Arabidopsis thaliana: one gene and its partners. The main gene of each other region encodes a partner of the protein of the gene in region 3 in a complex. Each region holds a gene or a part of one and is shown on either strand. Other genes may lie near its edges.

Region 1 (7,569 bases), on a different chromosome or scaffold from region 3:
AAAATCTGAAATTTGAGACATAAGTGTATGGTGATTTCAACTTGATACATACTTAGATTCATATTTTTATTGAATTTCGTAGTGTATATTTATACTTTTTTTTTTTGAAAAAAGGTGTATATTTATACTTAGGTTAGTGATTTCAATTAGAGACATAATTAGATTGTTATTTTTATGGAGGCAGGACATTGATGGGAAGGATGTTGCTTTGAACAAATTCAAGGGGAAAGTTATGTTGATTGTCAATGTTGCTTCAAGATGGTAAGCTTCTCCTTCTTCATCCTCTTGATGTGTTTGATGACAGTTCATGTAGAGGTTTCTAATCTTAAAGATTGTGTGTTTTATGAACATACAGTGGTTTGACATCATCAAATTACTCAGAGCTTTCACATCTGTACGAGAAATACAAAACTCAAGGTGAGTTCTAATTAGTTCTCTCATATTGTGATCTATTCCGGTTTGCAACCAGTGGGTATTTTGGTTACTTACTGAAAATTCCTCGTGTTTTGGTGTTCACTTAATTGTTCTGTAGATCTTTATATTATTGTGGTGTCAATATGATTTGGTTCTATTGTTGCTTCTTCTACAGCGATGTTACTAGCTCGTAGTTCACTTTAATTTATGGAAATAAAATTGTTCTGTAACGTTGAACTGCAAGCAAATTCAGCATCTTTGTTTGATTGATGATAATCTCACTCATCCGTTCTCTGTAGCTAAAAGAATTTTCTCGAAAGTACGGATCTGTTCATTAATCATTTAGGAGGCAATAAGCCAATGAACGTGTATTTCTCATGCATTTGTAGTTAGTAATACTAGCTTGTTGTTTGGATTACAGGATTTGAGATTCTAGCTTTTCCCTGCAATCAGTTTGGTTTCCAAGAGCCCGGGTCAAACTCCGAGATCAAACAATTCGCTTGCACCCGGTTTAAAGCAGAGTTCCCTATATTTGATAAGGTATAAAGAATCCAAAACATTCATTCTTCTTATTTTCAGGTTGCAGATTCTAAATAAGTTTGAATTCGACAGGTTGACGTGAATGGACCAAGCACAGCGCCGATCTACGAGTTCTTGAAATCAAACGCAGGAGGATTCTTGGGTGGTCTCATTAAATGGAACTTTGAGAAGTTCTTGATTGATAAAAAGGGAAAGGTCGTTGAGAGGTACCCTCCCACCACATCCCCTTTCCAAATCGAGGTATGGCTAATGGACTACTTCCTATTTGGTTCATAGCGGTTCTATTCCCGGTTTGTAACCAAACCGTTTTGTTTCTGTTTTGCAGAAAGACATCCAGAAGTTGCTTGCCGCTTAAAAACTTTTGCTCATGAGTGAGCATATAGAGACTGATGGTTAAAGTAACCGTAAATTGTGACATAAAGTTTCCGGTTATTGCTTGTATACCTTCTTACATTCTAAGTTGTACTAATCGCTTAATAATTTGCGTATAATGGTAATGTTATATACATTATATTATAAAAATGGTGTTATATATACAATAAGACAATCTCGCTCGCGCACATCCAATCAACAACGATGGAGATGATATTACAAAAAAAAGCATTGAACCCTTCACCTCTTACATTTCAAAGTGTTTATTAAACTAGATTAGTTACAGTTCCTTATGTAAAAATTCAAATATTTATAGTTTAGTGGGTGCACCAACGTGAGTCCGCCCTACTTAATCTTATATACATTATTTTATTGAATTTGAAAAGTAATCCGCAATATAACCCTTGAACGTGTATAGATTTTGTAAACCGTATAAGTTTGTATATAGATTAACAAAACTACTTCGCTTTGAACACTTGAAAAAAAAAAAAAATGAGAAGTAGACTCGAACTAATGACCTATAGAACGTTCATAACATATATAACCAATTTTGCTTCAATAGTTTTTGACAATTGTACAAACCCTCCAAGTAATTTTTATTGTTAATCATAAAAAAAATGTTCTTATACATTTGCAATTTCACAATAAGACAGTCTCGCCTCGCACATCCAATTCCAAAAAGTGAATTATTACAGCTCATGAAACATTATTTATTTTGTTATCATTTGTGTCAACATTATCATTAGTGGTAACATCGTCTTCATCATCATCACCTTGCCATGACCATACAATGTCTTTAAGAGCTGGTCTGACGTCATCCTCACAGAAGAGGTAATACTCCAACGTATCCCCCGAGGTTTTGCAGAACTCCACGACAGAGACTTCAGGAGCGACTTCGAATACTTCCGCCGTCACCGAGAGCCTTCCTTTACGACCTTCTGTTCTTCTTTGCAGCTTCATCTTGCAGTCTTTTACATGTTTCACTCTCATATCCATCTCACGCGCCGCCGTCTCCAGCCTCTCTTTAACAGATTTCGCCGGGAACTTCGATGTGAACATCCGCTTTGGCTTTCGTTTTATCTCGAATAGGTTAGAGAGATCGAAACCTGAAGACATTGATGTGATGAATTGGAAGGCGTTGAAGGATCTTGGTGAAGCTCCGTCGTCTTCTTTCTCGTTTAGGTCTTTCTTCTTTTTCTTTGTTGGTGGCTCCGGTGGAGATGGGATCGTTTCGTCTATCGAAAAGGCTACTGATGGTGTAAAGTTCTTTCGGAACCATGGAATCATTTTGATCTCTGACATTGAAATTCTTTGTTCAGGATCCGGCACAAGCAATCTTGAGAGTAGTTCCTTGGATTCTAAGGAAAACCACGGTGGGAACTCGCATTCCGCCTTGAAGATCTTCCTGTTTATTTCGAAAGGTTCAATCAAACAAGAAACAACAATGAGAATTTGATCAATTCACATTCACATTCAACAATACTAATATTTGAATTTGTAAGAAGAGCACTATTTGAGACCGTTATTATTGGCGGGAGTTTTATAAATTATCTAGTAAAATACGGGACGTGAAATTTTGATAATATAGAACTATAATGAAATATACGATCGACCAACATTTATCGAATTTGATATCAGATTAATGTACCTAAAATACCACCCGAATATTCACAAATTGATAATAGTTTCAATATCTTGGAAAATATTGTATAATTTTGAGTAATTATTAAAATTTGAATTACGTGAACAAATAATTCAAATACTATATATCTTTTCTTTTTGTGTGTGTAAACTTTCAAATAGTATATCTTATATCCAAGTTTTGTATCTATTGGTACAAGTTAAACTGTCTCTTTCAAATAATATTTTATTTAACCAAAAATGATTATTATTTCTTTTTAACATATATAAGTATGTGATGTAAAATTGAGATGCATCTAGAAACCCAACTCAAAATGGACTACTTTGGCTTTTAGTTCAATATTTTTTTGTATCTCACTATTCGTCAAATAAATAACAAAAACAAATACGGTTTGGGCCAAAACCTGGTCAAGAAATACTTACGTGTACAATGTCATGACGTTTTCGTCGATAAACGGCAAGAAGCCAGCAAGGAGTGCATACAAAACAATCCCGCACGACCAAATATCAGCCATAGCTCCGTCGTATCCTTTATTCCGTAAAACCTCCGGCGCCACGTAAGCCGGTGTCCCGCACCGCGTATGTAAAAGATCATCGCTGCTACCACGCCTGCCACCTAGCCCTTCTGGCATCATCAATGCGGAAAGTCCGAAATCCGTTACCTTAAGATCACCTTCTCCGTCAAGCAACAGATTCTCGGGTTTAATATCGCGGTGGAAAACACCGCGGCTGTGGCAAAAATCCACCGCGGATATCAATTGTTGGAAATACTTTCTGGCTAGATCCTCCGGGAGCTTCCCATCTCTATCGATCATTTCGAAAAGCTCTCCGCCGTTGACGTACTCCATGACGAAGAAAATCTTCTTCTTTGTAGCCATTACTTCGCGGAGCTCGACCACGTTTGGATGACGGAGGAGACGCATGACGGCGATCTCTCGTTCGATTTGCTCCATCATGCCACGACGTTTGAAAACGTGGTCTTTTTTGATGACTTTGATTGCCACGTCATCGCCGGTGGAGATCTCTGTTCCGTGATACACTTTGGCGAAGTTACCGGTTCCGAGAAGTCTTCCGATGTTGTATTTGTCGAACAAGACAGTACTACTACGGTTTGATTCTTCCATTGTCTTTGTCTGACTAGTTACAAGTATATGTGAGACTAATTATGTGGAATTTTGTGATTTGGTTACATATCTATATATATAAGCAGAAATTATTTGTGGAATTTTTTTATTTATAATGTTGTCTACTTTGTTTGATATGTGACGACTAAGTGAACTGTGAAGAAATGTTCTAATCTTATCTAAACAAAGTGATGTGCCTAAGATCTGGCAGCTAGCATAATTAAATACGACCAAAGCCAAAAGAATAACCAAGACGAAATTGATTCGCGAATTGAACTAAATCGGGGTTTGCTATTTATGTTGAGTGCCTAAAAAAGGGTTATAGAACATGATAAAACTAGATATAATTAACAAACTAAAGCATGAAAAATAAATATCTCGAGTTACGATGCAATGATCATAAGAGAATGATTTCAATAAAAGTGTAACAGGTGATTTAAATCCATTTCTATGTAAATAAATCCTTTTTTTAACCAGTTAAACAATGGTCTCGCACATTTCTGACCATGTATTCATGTAAATAAGTTCTTAAAGTTTTCAGAATAGATTTTAAAAATATAAAAGTAACTCTCTTATCCTTATACAAAAATTGTGGACGCCATGAAATTGACGTGGAATCGCCGTTAATGCTACGCATGTTTTGAAGTAGATACGCATTAATTAAAAATAGTAAACTTGTCCCGATAAAATTTCAATGAACTGTCTTTTTTTGGTAAGGCAAGATGTGACCTTTTCTACTTGGCCCTTAAATATTTTTAAAACAATTTCTTGACTTATTTTTCATAGAGGAATTTTTAATTTCTTTCGAAAAGCTTTGACTCTTTTCCTAGTTGGGACGATTGTATCGGAAAGTGGTCATTTCTAATACGTCCGTGAATCTATCGACCAAATCTTCCTTTCTACATCTTTGCTAATTTCTTGGTTTGATGGATTCTTCATATTTTGCTACTCAAAACAACACACTCAATTTTTCCAATTGTTTTCTTACAATTTGATGATTTTTCTACATACATGAAAATCTCATTATAACCGTGTATTTGGGTGGGATACTGTTATTTTCCTCTATCATAATCAAAGGTACATCTTGTAAAGCTAAATCTAAATTTTAACAAAAAAAAAAGAAGCTAAATCTAAATTTGTTCGATTTAAAGATCAGGATTATTAAGATAATATATAACTAATCATTTTAAGGAACATGTATAACAAGTCCAAGAAACTTTGTGATGTGTCATGATTTGGACCCACGATTAATGACAACAATTATGTTTACACAAATGTTAATACTCTAACGAAATACTATAACGAGTTTTACCCAAAAAAAAAAAAAAAAAAAAAAAAAAAAATACTATAACGAGATATGTATTTAAAATTGAAGAGTAAAAGGGTAACATCACAAACATAGTACACTATTTTGTGGCTAATTGGGTGATCACAGACATATATCTACTTATCGCGCTGCATTTCCGATTGTTTGTTATTTTCGGGTGATTAGGTTGTCGAAACTAGCTGCTAAAACAAGCCATGCCGTGAATTTTGCATCACATTGATCAGTCAAATTTCAAGCAGTAGTTGATTGGAATATGCCCTAAAGAGTGAAAAGATTTGCAAATCCACCTAAATAAGCCATCGTTTGTGCTGCACATGGTTTAAATGTTGCATTACTTAATTAGAAAACAATTTGATCAAATGCATAGGAGTTCTACTTCGAACGAATCTAAAGATGTTACCTCATCTACCTTATGTTTTCCTGATGATAGAAGACCCCCTTACCTAAAAATGTTGTTCAAGGGTAAACAATAAATACATATATATACATGAGTGTGTGTGTGTGTACAAGCACGATTCATATTATATGTATGTTGCCAAAACCTTTGCTATTTGATGCACAATATGTGATGATGTAAACTTTATATATAAGTACAGAATGTTTGAATGGAGCTTAGACAATTTCTTGAACCAGAGAAAATAAAATAATAATTGGTGTTGTTGATAAAAACTCAACATGCCAAGAAAAACAGATTGCTGAAGTATGGATCTTCAAATTCTATCATTTACATAAATTAAAATGAGTGATCTTGCAAGGAAAAATGTGAAGAAAAATGGAAAATAAGAGTTCTTTGTAAGAAAGGGGAAGTTTTATTGAAATGAAAATATTGAAGACTTGGTAATAAAGAAGAATGCAAAAACCGTGAAGAATCCTACACAATTTTGTCTACTTCTTTTTTTTTTCTTTACTTCAAAAGTACAAAATTTTCTCTACTTTCTGTAGCTTCTCTTTTTGTTAGAAAGTTGATAAATCTTTGCAAAGGACGACTGTACTGGTCTGAAAGATCCATGTGACAGAACGAACTGTTAGATTAAAAATAATTACGCATTTACGAACTGTGTATTTGTGAAGATATATTTTGAAAGACACTTCGTTAACAATTTTGATTTCCTACATATATCTCCGTGACAATTCCCTAATCAATTAACACATTTCTTCGATCAGAGTTTGTCGTTTGCGTTTAGAATTGCATTTCCATGTTACAATATAATACACATTACTCTCATTTGAACATTCTTTATTAAAATGATGTACAAATGTGTTTGATTTTGCGTTTTATTTTAGAACTATCAATAGATTTGATGAGAAAGGAAAGTTTTTTTTTTTTTTTGAATATATGAAATGAAGCGAACTAATAAAGCTGGAACCAACAACTCTGAAATCATTAAAGTCAGAAACAAAGTTCACCAATATTCCATGTCTTCCAAATTTCCCAATCTCTTCAGAAATATCAGTATTGACTTCAATTAAAGCTACAAATATGTCTTAAAGATGCAATCATCTTAATCACAGAAAATACAAATATACACCAAGATACACATATTTGACCACATAATCATCGTGATTTTTAGTCCAACGACTCACTTACCCAAGTTAAAACTAAAAGGTGTAACAGTAGGACAAAAATTAATTGTAGTATTGATATTTTGTCGACAAACACCAAAAAAATTCAACAGTATTAACAGTACAAAAGTGGGAAGACATGACACATCAACTTGTGCTACCTATTCAACAAACTCATACATTATTGGCTGCTGTATTAGTTTTGCATACAAAATGTGTGTTTGAGAGATGCAGTTGCCAGGGAACATGTTCTCAAGTTAATCTAACCATAAAAACACCTAAAAGAATATTCTCGCAATATTCATGTACACAAATGTAACATGGAATCAAATATATACATATAAAATGTAGAAAAAATGTAAGTACAACTAATTATATACTAACATATACCTATTTTGTTAAATAATAAGCTAATCATGCACCTCATGGAATAAAGATGTACGAGCAAACCATTTAAATAACAAGAAAAGCAACGACTCATTCTTATAATGCAAATATCATGACCTTAACATCTTATTCACGCAAAATGAGATAATATATGATCGCATGAATCAAAAGACATAAATTATATGTTTACAAAGGAAACTA
Region 2 (6,871 bases), on a different chromosome or scaffold from region 3:
TCTTATGACAGGCTGATGTCCATTTCAGCGATTACTAATAATTGTGAATATGACCCTTTTCTATGCTTCTCTTACCCTTTATGGTCAACACATACTTTTCTTTTGTCCCTATGCAGACAAAAAATAACACACCTGCAGCCCAAGGAAAATGTATTACTCGCCTGTTGCTTTATCATTTCTCCGTAAACTTGCCCCTGATGTTGGCCTCCTACCCTGTCTTCCGAGCCATGGGAATGCGAAGCAGTTTTCCTCTGCCGTCCTGGTATTGATCTTAAACTCGTCCATTTGGCAATAAAAAGAAAGAAAAACATAATCAAAAGATGTCAGTGTTGAGCATCATGAAAGAACCTGAGCTCATGTTTGATCAGGTATATAAGACCCTCTTTGGTGATGGTCCTGCAGGAAAGAAGTGTCTGCCCAGATATTATTCTACTTTATCATTGAGGATTTTGTCTTCTATTGGGGTCATCGGATCTTGCATTCAAAATGGCTGTACAAGAACGTGCATAGTGTGCATCATGAGTAAGTTTCAATGTTCACCATTTTTTTTTTCAGTCTTGATACTTGAAACTGTGAGTTTCTGAAAAGCAACCATTTCATGATATCACAGATATGCCACACCATTTGGTTTGACATCAGAATATGCTCACCCCGCTGAGATTCTATTTCTGGGTTTTGCTACCATAGTCGGTCCAGCTCTTACTGGCCCTCACCTAATTACTCTCTGGTTATGGATGGTGTTGAGAGTGCTGGAGACAGTTGAGGCACATTGTGGTTATCATTTCCCATGGAGCCTCTCAAATTTTCTTCCTCTGTATGGAGGGTAAGATCACACATCTAGCCAGCTCTTTTGAAACTTAAAACCATAAGACATTTGTATTAATAGATTTTACTATTATTATTTTTGTGATTTGGTTACAGTGCTGACTTCCATGACTACCATCACCGACTGCTATACACAAAGTCCGGAAACTACTCTTCAACTTTTGTGTATATGGACTGGTGAACCTCTGAACTTGTTTAATATCTCTTCGCTTTCCAGAACAGATCTTTAGTTGTCCTGATATTAATATCCAGTGTATAATTCGTCTCTGGTGTTCTTCAGGATCTTTGGTACTGACAAGGGGTACAGAAGACTGAAGACCCTTAAAGAAAACGGTGACATGAAACAAACGTGAAATTGCCACTTTGGATTGCAGAGTACATTTGTCTTAGAGAGGTCTTATTCTGCAACCTCTCCTTTTCTTTAACATTTTGCTTTCAGGTTGCTGCAACGCTCATGTGTCTTAGTTTATTATGTCTGACTAGAATTGCTGCTCGTGTGGCCTATTTGAAAAAACATATGGTACTTCAACTCAGTATGTGTTTAGGTTGGGCAATTAAAACATTTTGTATGGGTCATCTATTTGAAGCTTAATATATCCTTGTCTCATTTTTCTGTATCAAGTTTAGATGTTGCGCTACCAAATTTTTGGGTAGGTTATAGCCTTATAGGATTCAGATGAAAATATAATACCCCAAAATTCTCGGCCCAAATGCTTTGGGAGTGTTGGTTCGATTTTCCTTCTTAATAAAATTCTTACATTACATGACAGGTAAGTTAATTTTGATTTTCCATCAGACCAGTGATCATGTTTAGATAAAACAGTCTGATTAGGTTCATATTCAGATCTCAATCAATTACCCGACACCGACACCGACACGTACGAATGCGCATATTAACATATGCATCGTTCCGGTGTGTCACATCCTCTTTACGTGGTGTAGGGTTTCTACTTTTACCTCTTCGACACGTACTCCGTCCTCTTCCCAATTATCTTCTCTCTCTTTTCGTTTCCGTGAGATTTTGAATTTCTTCCAACACCAAAAAGGCCCACTCGTTTATAGAGATTTTAAAATCTTTATCAACAAACTGAAAATTCCCGGTGATGTTCTCAAAGATCACCACGCGTATCCGAGTTAATTGGTTTGCTTTAAAAGCCAAGAAAACATATACATACTTTTTTATTAATTGAATTCTGAACTGATTCCACCTAGACAGTGACACATTCCGGCTTCCTTTTCTGTTTGTTCATTACACACCGAAAAAAGGCAAGAAAAAAAGGTTCAGAACAAAAAAGACCCAACCATACCCGGTTTAACCGCTTTCAGTAAACCGGGGTTTTTTTTTTAGACCTAATGCTTTTTTTTTCTCTCTTTTGGGTTCAAAGATTTGAGCTACCTTCGTCCCAAGGTAAAAGAATCATTTTAAACAACACAAAAAACGGTGGAGTAAGAGTGATGAGGAGATTAGTGTCAAGCAACGTGTCTCTTTCTTCTTCTTCTGAGATCAATAACGACGACGCTTACGTTGTCACTACTGTGTTTTGCCAACGCCAGCTTCGTCAGCAATACTGACGCCTCCGTACATGCTTTGTCCGTGATCTCTCCTCTCTTCCCGTTCTTTCTTGACCCCACCACCTTCTCCTCTTCTTCTTTCCCTTCTTCTTCACTCCTCCTCCCCGGAGTCTGTGTTTCTCCTCGCCGTCTTCCACGACCACTTTTTCTGTTGAGACACATGCGCACCATCGTACACGCTGCCTCGTTCGTCACTACGTCCCATAGCCCGTCCGTCGCTAGAATCAGAAACTCATCTTCCTCAGTCCGATCCGTAACCGTCACTTCCGGCTCCGAAGTGACGTACGGTTTTAAATAATTGTCTCCTATGGCTCGTGACATGGCTAAAACGCCTAAGACTCTTGCACCGTCCCAGTATATCACTCGTCCTCCTGCTTCTTGGATTCGATCCAGCTCATCCGGACGATCAGGCTGTTCATTTTCAAACGTAAACAAGAGTTAAAATCCACTAAATCAAACAAATCAAGAAAGAGTTAGAAAGAGATAAAGACTGACCTTATGATCTGTAGAAAGAGGTACTGCTTTACCATTCCTACAAAGAACTGCTCTTGAGTCACCGCAATTCGCAACAATGATCTTCTCCGGCGTAATGACGGAGACAACGGCGGTGGATCCAACAGCGTCACAGTCCGGCGTTTGAAGCTCACACCTACAATTAGCACTCATCACAGTTTCACCCCAACGAACAACCTCTTTGTCCATACGTGTGAAGCTACGCTCCATCATCTTCTTCCATTCTTCTTTCTTATCCGACAACGCTTCTTCTTGCACTAACTCGTGAAGTCTCTCTTTACACCTAGCCGCAACCTACAAAAACGACATCGTATATTTCAATCAGGCAAAACCGTAAATATATCAATAATTTTGAAATTTTCAAATTAGGGTAAAACGGCGTCGTACGTGAGAACAGCCATGGCCGTCGTAAACACCAAAATAGTGCCATCTTGTTCGAGAAAACTCCGTTTGTTTCCGTACAAAAGACGGATGTAACGCAACCGCATCTTCCATATCTCTTCTTCTCCCGCACACCGATGCGACGCCGTATCTCGGCCTCAGATCCGTCTCTTTAACCGTCTTCTTCGACGGAATAACTGCAACATCATTAACCGATGAATTTCCATCGGAGATAGAGACGTCACTGTCTTCAAGTGATACACTCTCTTCTTCAGGAGAGCTTTGAGAAGGTGACGACGATGCACAGTTCATAAAATCGTACTCTTCTTGTTTATTTCGCTTATTATAAATCCCTTCAGATTTATCCTCCTCCTCCGTCGTCGACGCCGTGGGATTCATCTCCGACGGAGACATCCTGAATCGCTGGACACCGATCCTCCACTTCCGGCTAGACCACAACGGTCTTGATTCACAAGCCGACGTCTCGTCTTCATAACAAATATCCGCCATAACTCGATCGCCGCCTCTACTAAATATTCCGGTAACGAATCTTTTGAACGTCAATTAATTTCCGACGAAATATCTCTCTCCAAAATTTATTTTATGTTTATTACAAAAACAAAAAAAGAGTCGAATAGTGTTTCTTTTTTTTTTGGTTATACCACGCAGTTGAATAAATATCATCGTTACACGTTACAAAGCGTGCCCATTTATATACCCATGCGGCCTACCGCTTCATTAAACATTTTAAAATTCCTTTTTCTCTTCCTCGTTTTCAAATTACTTTTAACTTTTGATTTTTCTCCCTCCGCCTTCAAAAAATCTTTTACTCTAGCGACGTGACGTGTTGGTCTTTCGTCTAAATTAGAATCAATCTTGACCGTTGATCTGGTCACTATAGTATCTAGAAATGGACCACGTAAGCATCACGATCAGGTGGAGATATACGTGGCCCAATGACAAGGCAACAGAGGGGAGGAGGAAGTTCCTTTCGCGCCACGATTGTGGTCCACTTCTTTCTCAGGAAGACCTTTTTTGTCCAAATTGTCTCTGTGTCTCCCTTAAAGATAAAATATCTATCTAATCAACGATTTTTTAATTTTAAAGAATCCCATTACGTTAGTTAAATTTTTATTGTAGTTAACCTTAATTTGATCTAAATTAGGTCAACTTTTCAAGACTAACGAATTAAGTACGAAATTGTATACAGCGATTTTGCGATCATCTCATTAAAGAATTTATATACTGTGAACTAAAATTAGGTTACACTAAGACACGTACGTTAACTTTTCATATGAAAATTCTTTAGTTTTGTTTTTATGTAACCTTTAACATCATATTACGTTATTTCGGTTAACACTTAAAAGGTGCTTGGGAATTGTTTAGCTAAATCCTCTGTAGGCTGGTTTGGACTAAAATTTCTAACATATTAAGACCAGAGCTTTTTGTAGTGTTAAAAAAAAAAAAAAAAAATCTAACATCATAACTAATGATTTTGATATGAAAGCTTATGATATTTTTTACCAAAATATGCTTGTAATATTTTTGTCTTGTCGTGTTTAAAACATTTGCAAAGAAAGTGTACTAGTAATCTCATACCAAAATCATTTAATTGATATATAAAATAAAGTTATAACCATTTACCTAATTAAAAATGAAAGAAGTAGCGTGCATATATCCATAATTTTATCCGGATCTCCTATAAATTAATACATTGATTCGTTGCAGAAGTTAAGATTGAATTCAGAGTACTAATACATCATTTTTGAATCAGACCAAAAAGATTCTCAGCACTCAAAAGCATTGCGTTCAGCATTTAATAATAATTATAGTTAGAGTACGTACGGAGAGAAAGAAATTTAACTATAACGTATATAAGATTACAAATACAATCATGAATTTAAGTCCAAATCTGTCTCCATCAATTGGATTTGATATAAGCACCAGATCAGCTAGATTTCACGCAACTAAATCTCATCTGTTTAATTACCTGTAAAGCTGTAGTTACATTCATGATTACCTAAATAATCCTCGAGTAATTAAAAATTGAGGCCTCCCTAAAGTCACTATGAAGTAGAAAGTGAAAAATGAAAAAGCCGTACAGAGGACACGTAATTGTCTTGGAATGAGGAGTTATATTGTTAACCGTTAAAAGCCACAAAACAAAAATAAAAAGAAGATAGAAAAGGCTTTTTGGTGAAGCAGTGGCCCAACCATTTACCTCTACGTTTCTCCTTTGTTTCCATTCCGGCGAGTGGGTCTCACCTCCTTTATAACGGAATCTGAGGGCTCTCTTTTCCTCCACCGTACACGTGTTACCATCGTAGCTCTTATGTTTGGATATTTACCGACTACTGTTGCAGTGAAGTTAGGTCACTTTGTCTCTCACACACTCTACTCTCTCCAGTGAACGATGACAAGCTTTAATGTGTCTCTCAAGTCTCAACTGTAAAAAAAAGAAGCTAATTGGTGTTGCAAATGTAAACATTGCATAAGATAACGTTTCGCTTATAAATGAATAACTGCAAGTCTGCAAAATCATTTACTTTTGAAATAATAATACGTACTACTCACGGGGGCGATCGATATATAGTTTGTGTTTCTACGTTTTGATCAACAACAAAAAATTTGATCATCAAATTCCGTACTTTAAACAAAAACATTTTATCATGCTCATGTCATGTATAGGCAGTACTCTTCTATTGGTTGTTTTCAAGATCTCAAGCTCTCATTTGGCTTGTCTTCTTCATGGAAAATCAGTACTTCATTAATTACATCCACCCTATTAAAAGCAAACATTAATTGATGTACCACCTACAATTTTTTTTTCATCTTTAATTTGGTTTCGCAACACTTAAGTGCTACTACAATCATGAATCAATAGTTTTGCTCATGATCTAGCAATAAGGAAAAAAATGAGTTTGGGAAAAAGTAAATAGCATTGTGTGAATAAGACCATCATCGCTCATCAGAAACTAAAATAAGATATTTGTGATGAGTGTTACTGATCAAATCTCATTAAAATGGAAATGGAGAGGATTAAATGGGCCCTCTCGTTCGTGTACCCACCGATCCAACCAAAATCACTGTAATTGAATTGACTCCCAATAGTCCAATACTGAAGGTGCTAGAATCATGCATTTGGTAGGTGACAAAATCATTCAGTTTCTGTTTTTGGAATATAGCGTATGAGTTATCATGACCTTACAATTAATATATGGATTTGATAAAGTTGGTATTATTTTAGTAGAAATATCCAAAGTTTAGTGTGCATGGTGGCAATTGGCATGCACCTCGACCTAGGCCTACGATACATCCATGTGTACTTACGTGGTCATTTACTTTCTGTTTTTTTTTTTTGCTGCAACACTTCTCGTTTAATTTTAGGTTCTTTGAACTTTTGAACTTAAATTGGAATTTGAAATAAAGTTAAAAAGTTAAGAAAAAAACAAATAACCAATTTACTTACATTCATTGCATCGTGACAACTAGTCGTAATGGTGGAAGGTCAAGAAGTTGTTTTTGCTTTTGGACAATATATTACATATTTTGAATATAATATGGAGTGTTTAATGTTGGA
Region 3 (8,212 bases):
ATTTTGTTGTGAAAAAAATACGCGCTACGGTAACGCGTGAGGATCTATTTTTCCTTCTTTTTTTGTTTATTTTGTTTATTTTGTTAAATACATCCGGTTCGATCAAACCGGCGATTTCAATTTTGACTTGAGAATTCAGATTAGAGCATAGCCGATCATTGGTGTTGAGTTCTTCTCTCTTTTTTTTCTAGCAGTTTGCCCTTTCAATGCTCTAGCAGTTTGCTTTTACATGTCTCAAGATTAGTAGTAGATCTACAGATGCGAGGAGAAAATCATCAACGGATTTGTTTTTTTTCCACACAAAGGAACAACAAAATCTTGAAAATGTTGAGAGAGATTGAAAACAAATAAACATGATACATAATCAGAAAACAAACACAATTCCCAAACAGTCTCCTCTGCTAATATGCTATTGTTTTTCTCAGGTATCTTCCACTTGCGAGTGTAACACAAAGCTCGGAAATGTAGTTGTGATATCCCTGCACACAATATCAGATATCATGGTGTTAATAATACGTGATGCAGAAAAATTTGAAGTTGCATTGGCTAAACCTCGGGTTAGTCTTTGGTTTAGGAGCTCACTTGAGATACTGGAGAGTCATGTTCTTCAGAAGAAGAGGATGTCTAAAAACTAGGTCCATCCACTCTTCCTCATCGATCATCCCTTCATGTTTTGTGTCAGCTTGCACAAATGTCTGCCTCATAAACTCAAAAATCACTCTTCACTTCATATTCATCAGCTGCTTAAACTTAGTTGGCTATACTATAGACTAGAGTCGAACCAAAAAATAGAAGGAAGGAAAACACACCTTGTCGATTATACTCTCTACGATTTCGTCTGACTGGCTCATGCCGGACGCAGCAAGAGTAGCCACCACCAGTTGTTTCACCCCCTGCCTTTCGATAAAACCTTGCTGCTTAAGATCATATAGCTGAAACGAAACTGCCAAATAATGTTCCAGGTAACCGTTAATAAGCTTTCATGGAATATATATAGGTAGCATGTGAACAGTTTGTTTGTAGATGGTTAATATATCGGGTCTAGTTTTTGAGATCAGAGACGTACGGTCAATTTTATCATCTATAGGAGCAGATGGATGAAAGACAGAGAGAGCTCGGGCAAACTCCTCAAACCCAAGTAATCCATCATGATTTGTGTCGAACAAATCGAAGACCTGTGTGATAGGGTAATGTCATTGTTTGCAAATGGATTACAAAGACTTTTTTTGTTGAGAACAAAAATAAAATACCCTCTCTGAAAACAAGCTCTCATTTTTGTCAGTCTGGAATATGGCTACATGAAACTGTTCCTGATACAACAGAAATACAACAGGACACGTTATGGAAAATCTGTAAGACTTGTTGAAAAGAAGGAGTGCGTGGCAAGAAAGACATATATATTTATATATAATTCCAAATACCTTGTTCATTTCACCATAATAACACGTTACGCCTTCTACAACGTTACCCTGAACGAAGAAACACAGATTTATATCATATGCGTACTTAGCAAGAAAGTTACATATAATTTATACGAACCTCGTTTCTTTGGCAATCAACACCGCTGAGTTTCTTAAACACCTCATAGAGTGCCTTTCGCTTTTTCTGATCCGTAAAGCATCCCGTGGAGTTGGAAGAAGCTGAATTTCTTGTTGAATCCATGGAGAGTCGTGTAGATAGAAACTTTTTAGCCAAGAAAGAGAGAACAAATCGATGATCAAAAAAAGAGATTGTCAACGCGCTCTGATACCTATTCAGATCTTTGAGACAGGGAAAACATATATATTAGGAAAGACCGAAAGAGTAAGTAATTTATTCCTCAAAGTAAACGTGTTTATGCAGAACACAATCGTCACTAACTTTGCTAATTACTTTGTCAACTCTAACTGACAAAGTCAACCACAAGACTAACAAATCCGATTGTTGTAATGTTGCATCCGGTTCGATCAAATCGGTGATTTCAATTTTGACTTCAGAATTCAGACTAGAGCATACCCGATCATTTGGTGTTGGGTTCTCTCTTTTTTGCTCTCTATTATCACTTCATCAGTTTGCTCTTTATTAATAGGATTCATGTCTCAAGGTTAGTAGTATATCTACAGATGCGAGGAGAAAATCAGCAATCAAAATCAGGAGTAGCAAAAATACAGATTTGTTTTCTTTACTTTTAATTCACACAAGTAACAACAAAATCTTGAAAATGTTCAGAGAGATTGAAACAAATAGACATGATACATAATCAGAAAACAAACACAATTCCCAAATTGTCTCCTCTGCTAATATGCTATTGTTTTTCTCAGGTATCTTCCACCTGCGAGTGGAACACAAAGCTCGGAAATGTAGTTGTTATATCCCTGCACACAATATCAGAGATCGGTGTTAATAATAACACAGAAAAAATTGGAAGTTGCATTGCCTAAACCTCGGATAAGTCTTGGTTTAGGAACTCACTTAAGATACTGGAGAGTCATATTCTTTAGAAGGGAAGGATGCCTGAGAACAAGGGTTCTCCACTCTTCCTTATCGATCCTCCCGTCATGTTTTGTATCAGCTTCCTCAAATGTCTGTGAAAGAAGAAACTTAGAAACCACTCTTTACTTTATTCTCAACTGCTATCATGAGTTGGCTATACAACAGTGGAACAAGAATATAGTATCGAGCAGGGTAGGAAGGAACCACACCTTGTCGATTATACTCTCTATGATTTCGTCTGACAGGTTCATGCCGGACTCAGCAAGAGTAGCCACCACCATTTGCTTCACCTCTTGCCTCTCTATGAAACCTTGCTGCTTAAGATCATATAGCTGAAACGAAACTGCAAAACAATGTTCCCGGTAACTGTTAGTGATATTTCATGGGTTACATGTAGCATGTCAACATCAGATAAATTGTATAGATGGTTTCTCAGATCAACTTTGTAAGATCAAAGACGTACAGTCAATCTTGTCTTCTATGGGAGCATTTGGATGAAAGACAGAGAGAGCACGCGCAAACTCCTCAAACCCCAGTATTCCATTATGCTTTGTGTCAAACAAATCGAATACCTGTGATTGGTACTGTCAAGTTATCTTTCAAAAAGGATCTTGGCAAATGGATAACAAAGTCTTTTGATTAAAAAAGAAGAACATACCCGGTCTGCAAACAAGCTCTCTTTTTTATTTGTCTTGAACAAGGCTAACTGAAATTCTTCCTGAACGACAAGACAGGTCAAGGAAAATCAGAAAAGGATGTCCAAAAGACGTAGCAATATGCATGATTCGTGAGGAGTATAAGTGAGTGGCATAAAAGACATATAATGATGCCCTTCCTTCATACCTTGTTTATTAGCCCATCATCAATCACAGCACTGCTGATTTTCTTAAACAGCTCATAGAGAGCCTCTATTTCACTCACGCTAACTGCACCCAAACGAGTCAATGATCAAAACACAGAAAGAAAGATTTGCATTCCTCTTAACAGAGAGCATCAACTAGAGTAATGGCAAGCCTTTGAATCATACATATAACTGGAAAAAAAAAGTGCATGGAAGTTAAAATAAGATGGAAAAGAAGTTGAGAGCATACAAACTGTCTCTCTCGCAAGAAGTTCAGGGTCACCAAGGCCTCCAGATTGTTTGTAAATATCGATATCAAAACACCGGAAAAAAGAGGAGCATACATGCTTGAAACCGTCTATGCACTGCGACATGATATATCTTGTAAATCAAAACTCTCCATGCCTGTTAAATAACAATAAAATGTAAGAACTTTCGAACCACTTGGAAGAATCTAAAGACATATGCATTTGAACAAGATAAGTACCTTTTAACCATTTCCTGGTTCGTCAAATAGGCAATGCTTTGTACACCTCAAAAAATTCTGCGATGGGAAGGAAATGAGATATAGTCAGTTATTAGCTCATCAAATTGCAAAACAGTTAAAGAAGAATTGACAGGAGCAAACAAGATTCATCATTCTCAGATCAGATCTGAATTAGACTAAAGCACCAGATACTATGAAACACAAACAGAGGAGACGCATATTATAAACGGTCGTAAACTTTATGCATTAATCTTAACTCCAGATTCATTTCCAGATTAACCAATGTATTCATGGATTAGGAACTATCTTTAAGCTAAAACACGAAACCCAAATCTAAGAAACAGCCCCAAAAAATACATGAACTAGGATAAAATGAGGAATCAAAAACACCCAATTTCACGTCAGAAATGCATCATGAATTTTGCGGGGAAAAAAAATGCATCATGAAGAACATAATAAAACTATCCAGACGGATTAATCGTCAGAAAATATAATCCTCTGAGGATCGACACCTGAATCTAATCGCGATATGAATCAGAGAAGTGATTAAGCTAAGGAGAAATGACGGATATGAGAAAAAGCGATCCAATGAGTTTTAGATTCCAAATCGTTCGGATTCAGAGATACAACAACGATGAATCTCGTTATATAAACTTGGTAATCAGCTCATGGATCTATCAGCTTGCGAAGAAATTAGTTGCTTGATTCTCAATCTCAAATTTTAACTTGTTTCCCATCGCGATTTTCCCGGAATAAACACACGAGATTACGAGGAAGCGACCGACCGCGAAATCGTAGAAAAGGGAGAAAGAGAAGAAGAAAAAGCCTTACGCCACGGCGGATGATGAGCCTTCCTTGCGGCGGCTCCGGCGGTTGAAGGTGACGGTGGTTGCGGTGGAAAACGCGAAAAAAGCTCTTATTGGGTAAGTGAGAGAAAAAAGGTCGACACGATTTTCTATAAGCAGAATGAATATATTGCAAAATTTTAAATATGCTAAGAAAAAGACCAAATTATTTTTGTTTGTTGGCGTTTTTATACTTTTTAAATTTAAAAAATAAATAATTTTGTTTATTTTTACTCGATGTTGATACAGTTGTAATAAAACTCCTTGTTACATTCACTTTCACACGTCGTCGTCTAGTGGAGCATGTGTCCATTTATGCGCTGTCTTAAACACCATCGTTTCAATAATCGTTCCTATACGACGGCGTGTCATGTTATTCGGATTCTGACTGTTGCTTTGGTCTGATTTGGTCTCTGGGTTTGAATTCGGTTTAAATTGTCTTTGGAAAAAATATTATAGCAAAAACCAGTATAAGCTTAGTTACATTAACCAACAATTAAAACTTTGATTAATGGTAAGAGAGGGACAAACTCTACTGGTAAAACAACAGATTGATCATGTTTTTTAACTTTTTTTTTAGGTAAAATTACAGTTACTGGTGAGCTACTTTGTACACAAGAAAAAAAAAGGAATGATAACGACATTCACACAAGTAAACGTGTTTAGGCGGCAACAGAAAAAAAAAAAAACACATATATGGTACTTGGTCAGAGATTCAATCTTGTGACTCATGTATTGTTTTGATTTTTCAGTTAGGGAGATCTTGTTTGCAAAGAGGACAACACGAGATGATACGAAGCCATTGATCTACGCATTTGAGGTGAAACCTATGCGAACATGGAAGCTTTCTCACTTCTTCTTTCTCTTTGTACTTTGCCAAACATATACAACATTCCTGCAATAATGAAACCGGTGGGTTTCAGTTTTGATATCAAGATTGATTTCTGACTATTTGACCTATTTCAGAATTCAAATTAGTGCTTACCGGATCATTGTTTGCTTGAGAAGAATCAGAAGTTTCATCAATGAGTTTGTATTTCCAACTTGGGAGACTGGAGATCTGGTCATCTGAAGCTCCTTTTTCCGAAGATCCAACGTTCATGTTGTAGCCGAGGAAGCTACTAACGAGAGGTACAACACAACAGAGCAGGAGGAAGAGAAGAAATGGGAAGGAGTAACAGAGAGCGTTCCAAGCGAGTAGGGAGATGCAGAGGACATGAAGGATTGGAGCATAGTGGAAAGAACCAAACCGAGAATCAAAAACCCATACATTACCTATCACAAACCATATCGCAAAGAATAGCTCCAGCGATGTCCGGCATTTGTTCATCAAATGCGAGCACCTAAAACACACACAAAAATAAGTCATTTTCCTAGAAATCTTTGCATTTTATGATCAAACTTGAAAAAACTAGATTTTTGTTAGTAACCTGGTGGTCTCTTCCCTGCTTCTTTGTTGCTGCTCAATATCGCCGAAGCTAAATGCATTTTCATGGCTAGTATCTTGCTGACGATACCGACCGTATAGTAACATAAGATTGAGCAGACATCCAACGTTGTAGCCAGTGATCCATAACCTCATCGGCCAAACAGGCCTCTCGTTTTTGGACAAAGCTAGTGTGGATGTTATCACAGTGATCTGTAAAAGTAAAGCGATGAGCTCTGATACCATCCAAGCGATAGAATTGAAAGGATTGGTGCCAAGATCGGATCTTGAGGCGTTCTGGTAATGAAAGACTCTTCTCAAGAAAATGAACCACCTTGCTCTAGATACCCTCATGGCAAGTCTCATGAAGAAGGAAGAAGATGGAGAGCTCTCCGGAGCCGTGTGAGTGTTATCATCCAGTTGCGTGGAAGCGAAGGAAGAAGATGAGGAGACAGTGATGGAGTTAATGGCTGATGATTGCAACTGAGAGGAATAACGGGTACTCATATCGGAAACAGAGAGGTCTTTGATTTGATCTCCTGAACAAGAGCAAAGAGAAACAGAGTAAAGCTTGAGCTAAAAAGCCATGAAAAGTCTTTAAAATATGCAATTAAAGTACATGTAAAAAAAAAGACATGGATGGATATATCAGTGAGGCATTTTCATCAAATACCTTATCTTCACTCTGCGAAACAGAGCAACATACCAAAAAGTGTAGGTTTTGGTGTGAACCCAGCAGATGGAGAAGATTTTGGTAAAAAAATAGTGAAGATAGAAGAGATGAAGAAGAAAGGAAGGTGTAGTGATATTGTCAGAGAAGGTGAAGTTGGCCGTTTGATAGTGACGTCCACAAATGGATTTTTGCTTAGGATTGAAGAATGCAGAAGAAGCAGAGAAGTAGGAGAACATAAACCGTTGGCCTATAAAACCTAACAACCTTAGTTTTTTGTCTTCGAAGCAAAACTCCGACAGCAACCGCTGCTGCTTTATCTATTCTCGTTTTTTTTTTGGTTAGACAACGCCATCTCTCCTCCCTCTCTCCCTCTCTCCCTCTACGCAAAGCCAAATATTTATAAGAAAATCATTAAACATAAAAAAATTCAAAATCCAGTATTGGGCCGGGTTGGGCCGCGTAAACGGGTATCCAAATTAGAGGGTCGTTGAACTGAGTCTGACTCACTGAGTTTTGTGATCGAGTCAAACAAAGGTGAGCTTGGGAAATAATGGCGTAGCTCTACTAGCTCAAGTTTGAGCTCTCCCATAATGAGTACATCAAGCTTGTCCTCCATCTCCTGCCTCCTCTGGAGATCTCTCTCATGATGACTTCGAAGGTTTGAAAAACCTAACTATGAATCTTAGGATCTGATTACGTTTGACATGTACGTTAAATTGCACAATTTAGGAGTTTTCCTGAGTTCAATAGAAGGTGACAAATTTGGTTCTTGATTGCTTGAAATTGACAGGAACGGAAGTTGTTCACAGATCTTAGTGTTATTCAATTAGAAAAAGATGGAAACTTTTAGCCTTGTTTTGCTTTGTCCTGAAATTATACTCTCTTTGATTGAAATTTGTGTTAGAGCTATCATCTTTGGGTGTTCTTAATTTGCAAACCATTTTTTACTTTATCACTTAAACTCTCACAAAGTCTTTACGCATTATTATTATTATGGCCACCAAACGACTTTGCAGTAACTGTCCCTCACCTGCAGGTATGAGAAACTACAGAGATAATGTTAAACTGCAACAAGGTTTTAGAACACCGGGCAGCCCTTAGCGACGATCCCTTTCTCTGTTGGGCAATTTGCCAAAGGGCAATGGTCTGTGTTCTCATTCCCCCACCAATCTGGTAAGCTTATGTTATTGTTCTGTAACGCAAAGTAGATCAACACTCCCATAACCGCAGTGCCTGCATCAAGAGCTGCAGAGAGGATGTAGTTATGCCTTGCCCACCATCCCTTGTACCTCCTGAAGATATAGTAGTTGAACACGATCCCAACAGCGAACCACGACCAGTAATGCACAGCCTTGGCCATTGGCATCACATTAGCCCCTGAGAAGATCAAGGGAATATGAATCTGATGTATCCACTTCTTCTCCGGGAATTTCCTTGCAAAGAACCAGACCGGGACAGGAGCAAGGAA

The links.
Region 1: CBL3 (region 3) and CIPK16 share a complex: the UniProt entries of both Arabidopsis thaliana proteins name them as parts of the K(+)-channel calcium-sensing kinase/phosphatase complex.
Region 2: CBL3 (region 3) and HAI2 share a complex: the UniProt entries of both Arabidopsis thaliana proteins name them as parts of the K(+)-channel calcium-sensing kinase/phosphatase complex.

What each region holds. Positions count from the first base shown.
Region 1 is NC_003071.7:10,668,520-10,676,088, forward strand, and holds CIPK16 (CBL-interacting protein kinase 16), read right to left. Parts: upstream 4,374-7,569; 5' UTR 4,092-4,373; coding exon 3,391-4,091; intron 2,732-3,390; coding exon 2,023-2,731; 3' UTR 1,891-2,022; downstream 1-1,890. Other genes in the region: GPX1 (glutathione peroxidase 1), read left to right, coding at 185-261, 356-417, 836-954, 1,027-1,194, 1,280-1,309. UniProt on the Arabidopsis thaliana protein: CIPK serine-threonine protein kinases interact with CBL proteins. Binding of a CBL protein to the regulatory NAF domain of CIPK protein lead to the activation of the kinase in a calcium-dependent manner.
Region 2 is NC_003070.9:2,278,856-2,285,726, forward strand, and holds HAI2 (highly ABA-induced PP2C protein 2), read right to left. Parts: upstream 3,974-6,871; 5' UTR 3,802-3,973; coding exon 3,298-3,801; intron 3,205-3,297; coding exon 2,893-3,204; intron 2,809-2,892; coding exon 2,296-2,808; 3' UTR 1,891-2,295; downstream 1-1,890. Other genes in the region: SMO2-1 (sterol 4-alpha-methyl-oxidase 2-1), read left to right, coding at 117-262, 403-522, 611-823, 922-1,002, 1,106-1,178. UniProt on the Arabidopsis thaliana protein: Involved in the negative regulation of the K(+) potassium channel AKT1 by its dephosphorylation, antagonistically to CIPK proteins (e.g. CIPK23). Functions as a positive regulator of abscisic acid-mediated cell signaling during seedling growth.
Region 3 is NC_003075.7:13,406,312-13,414,523, forward strand, and holds CBL3 (calcineurin B-like 3), read right to left. Parts: upstream 4,760-8,212; 5' UTR 4,313-4,759; intron 3,858-4,312; 5' UTR 3,801-3,857; intron 3,719-3,800; 5' UTR 3,688-3,718; coding exon 3,564-3,687; intron 3,399-3,563; coding exon 3,316-3,398; intron 3,191-3,315; coding exon 3,131-3,190; intron 3,057-3,130; coding exon 2,936-3,056; intron 2,816-2,935; coding exon 2,682-2,815; intron 2,565-2,681; coding exon 2,452-2,564; intron 2,355-2,451; coding exon 2,297-2,354; 3' UTR 2,111-2,296; downstream 1-2,110. Other genes in the region: CBL7 (calcineurin B-like protein 7), read right to left, coding at 422-479, 583-695, 810-943, 1,067-1,175, 1,251-1,310, 1,422-1,469, 1,540-1,662; AT4G26580 (RING/U-box superfamily protein), read right to left, coding at 5,394-5,540, 5,631-5,988, 6,076-6,578; OPT5 (oligopeptide transporter 5), read right to left, coding at 7,823-8,212. UniProt on the Arabidopsis thaliana protein: Acts as a calcium sensor. CBL proteins interact with CIPK serine-threonine protein kinases. Binds calcium ions. Binding of a CBL protein to the regulatory NAF domain of a CIPK protein lead to the activation of the kinase in a calcium-dependent manner.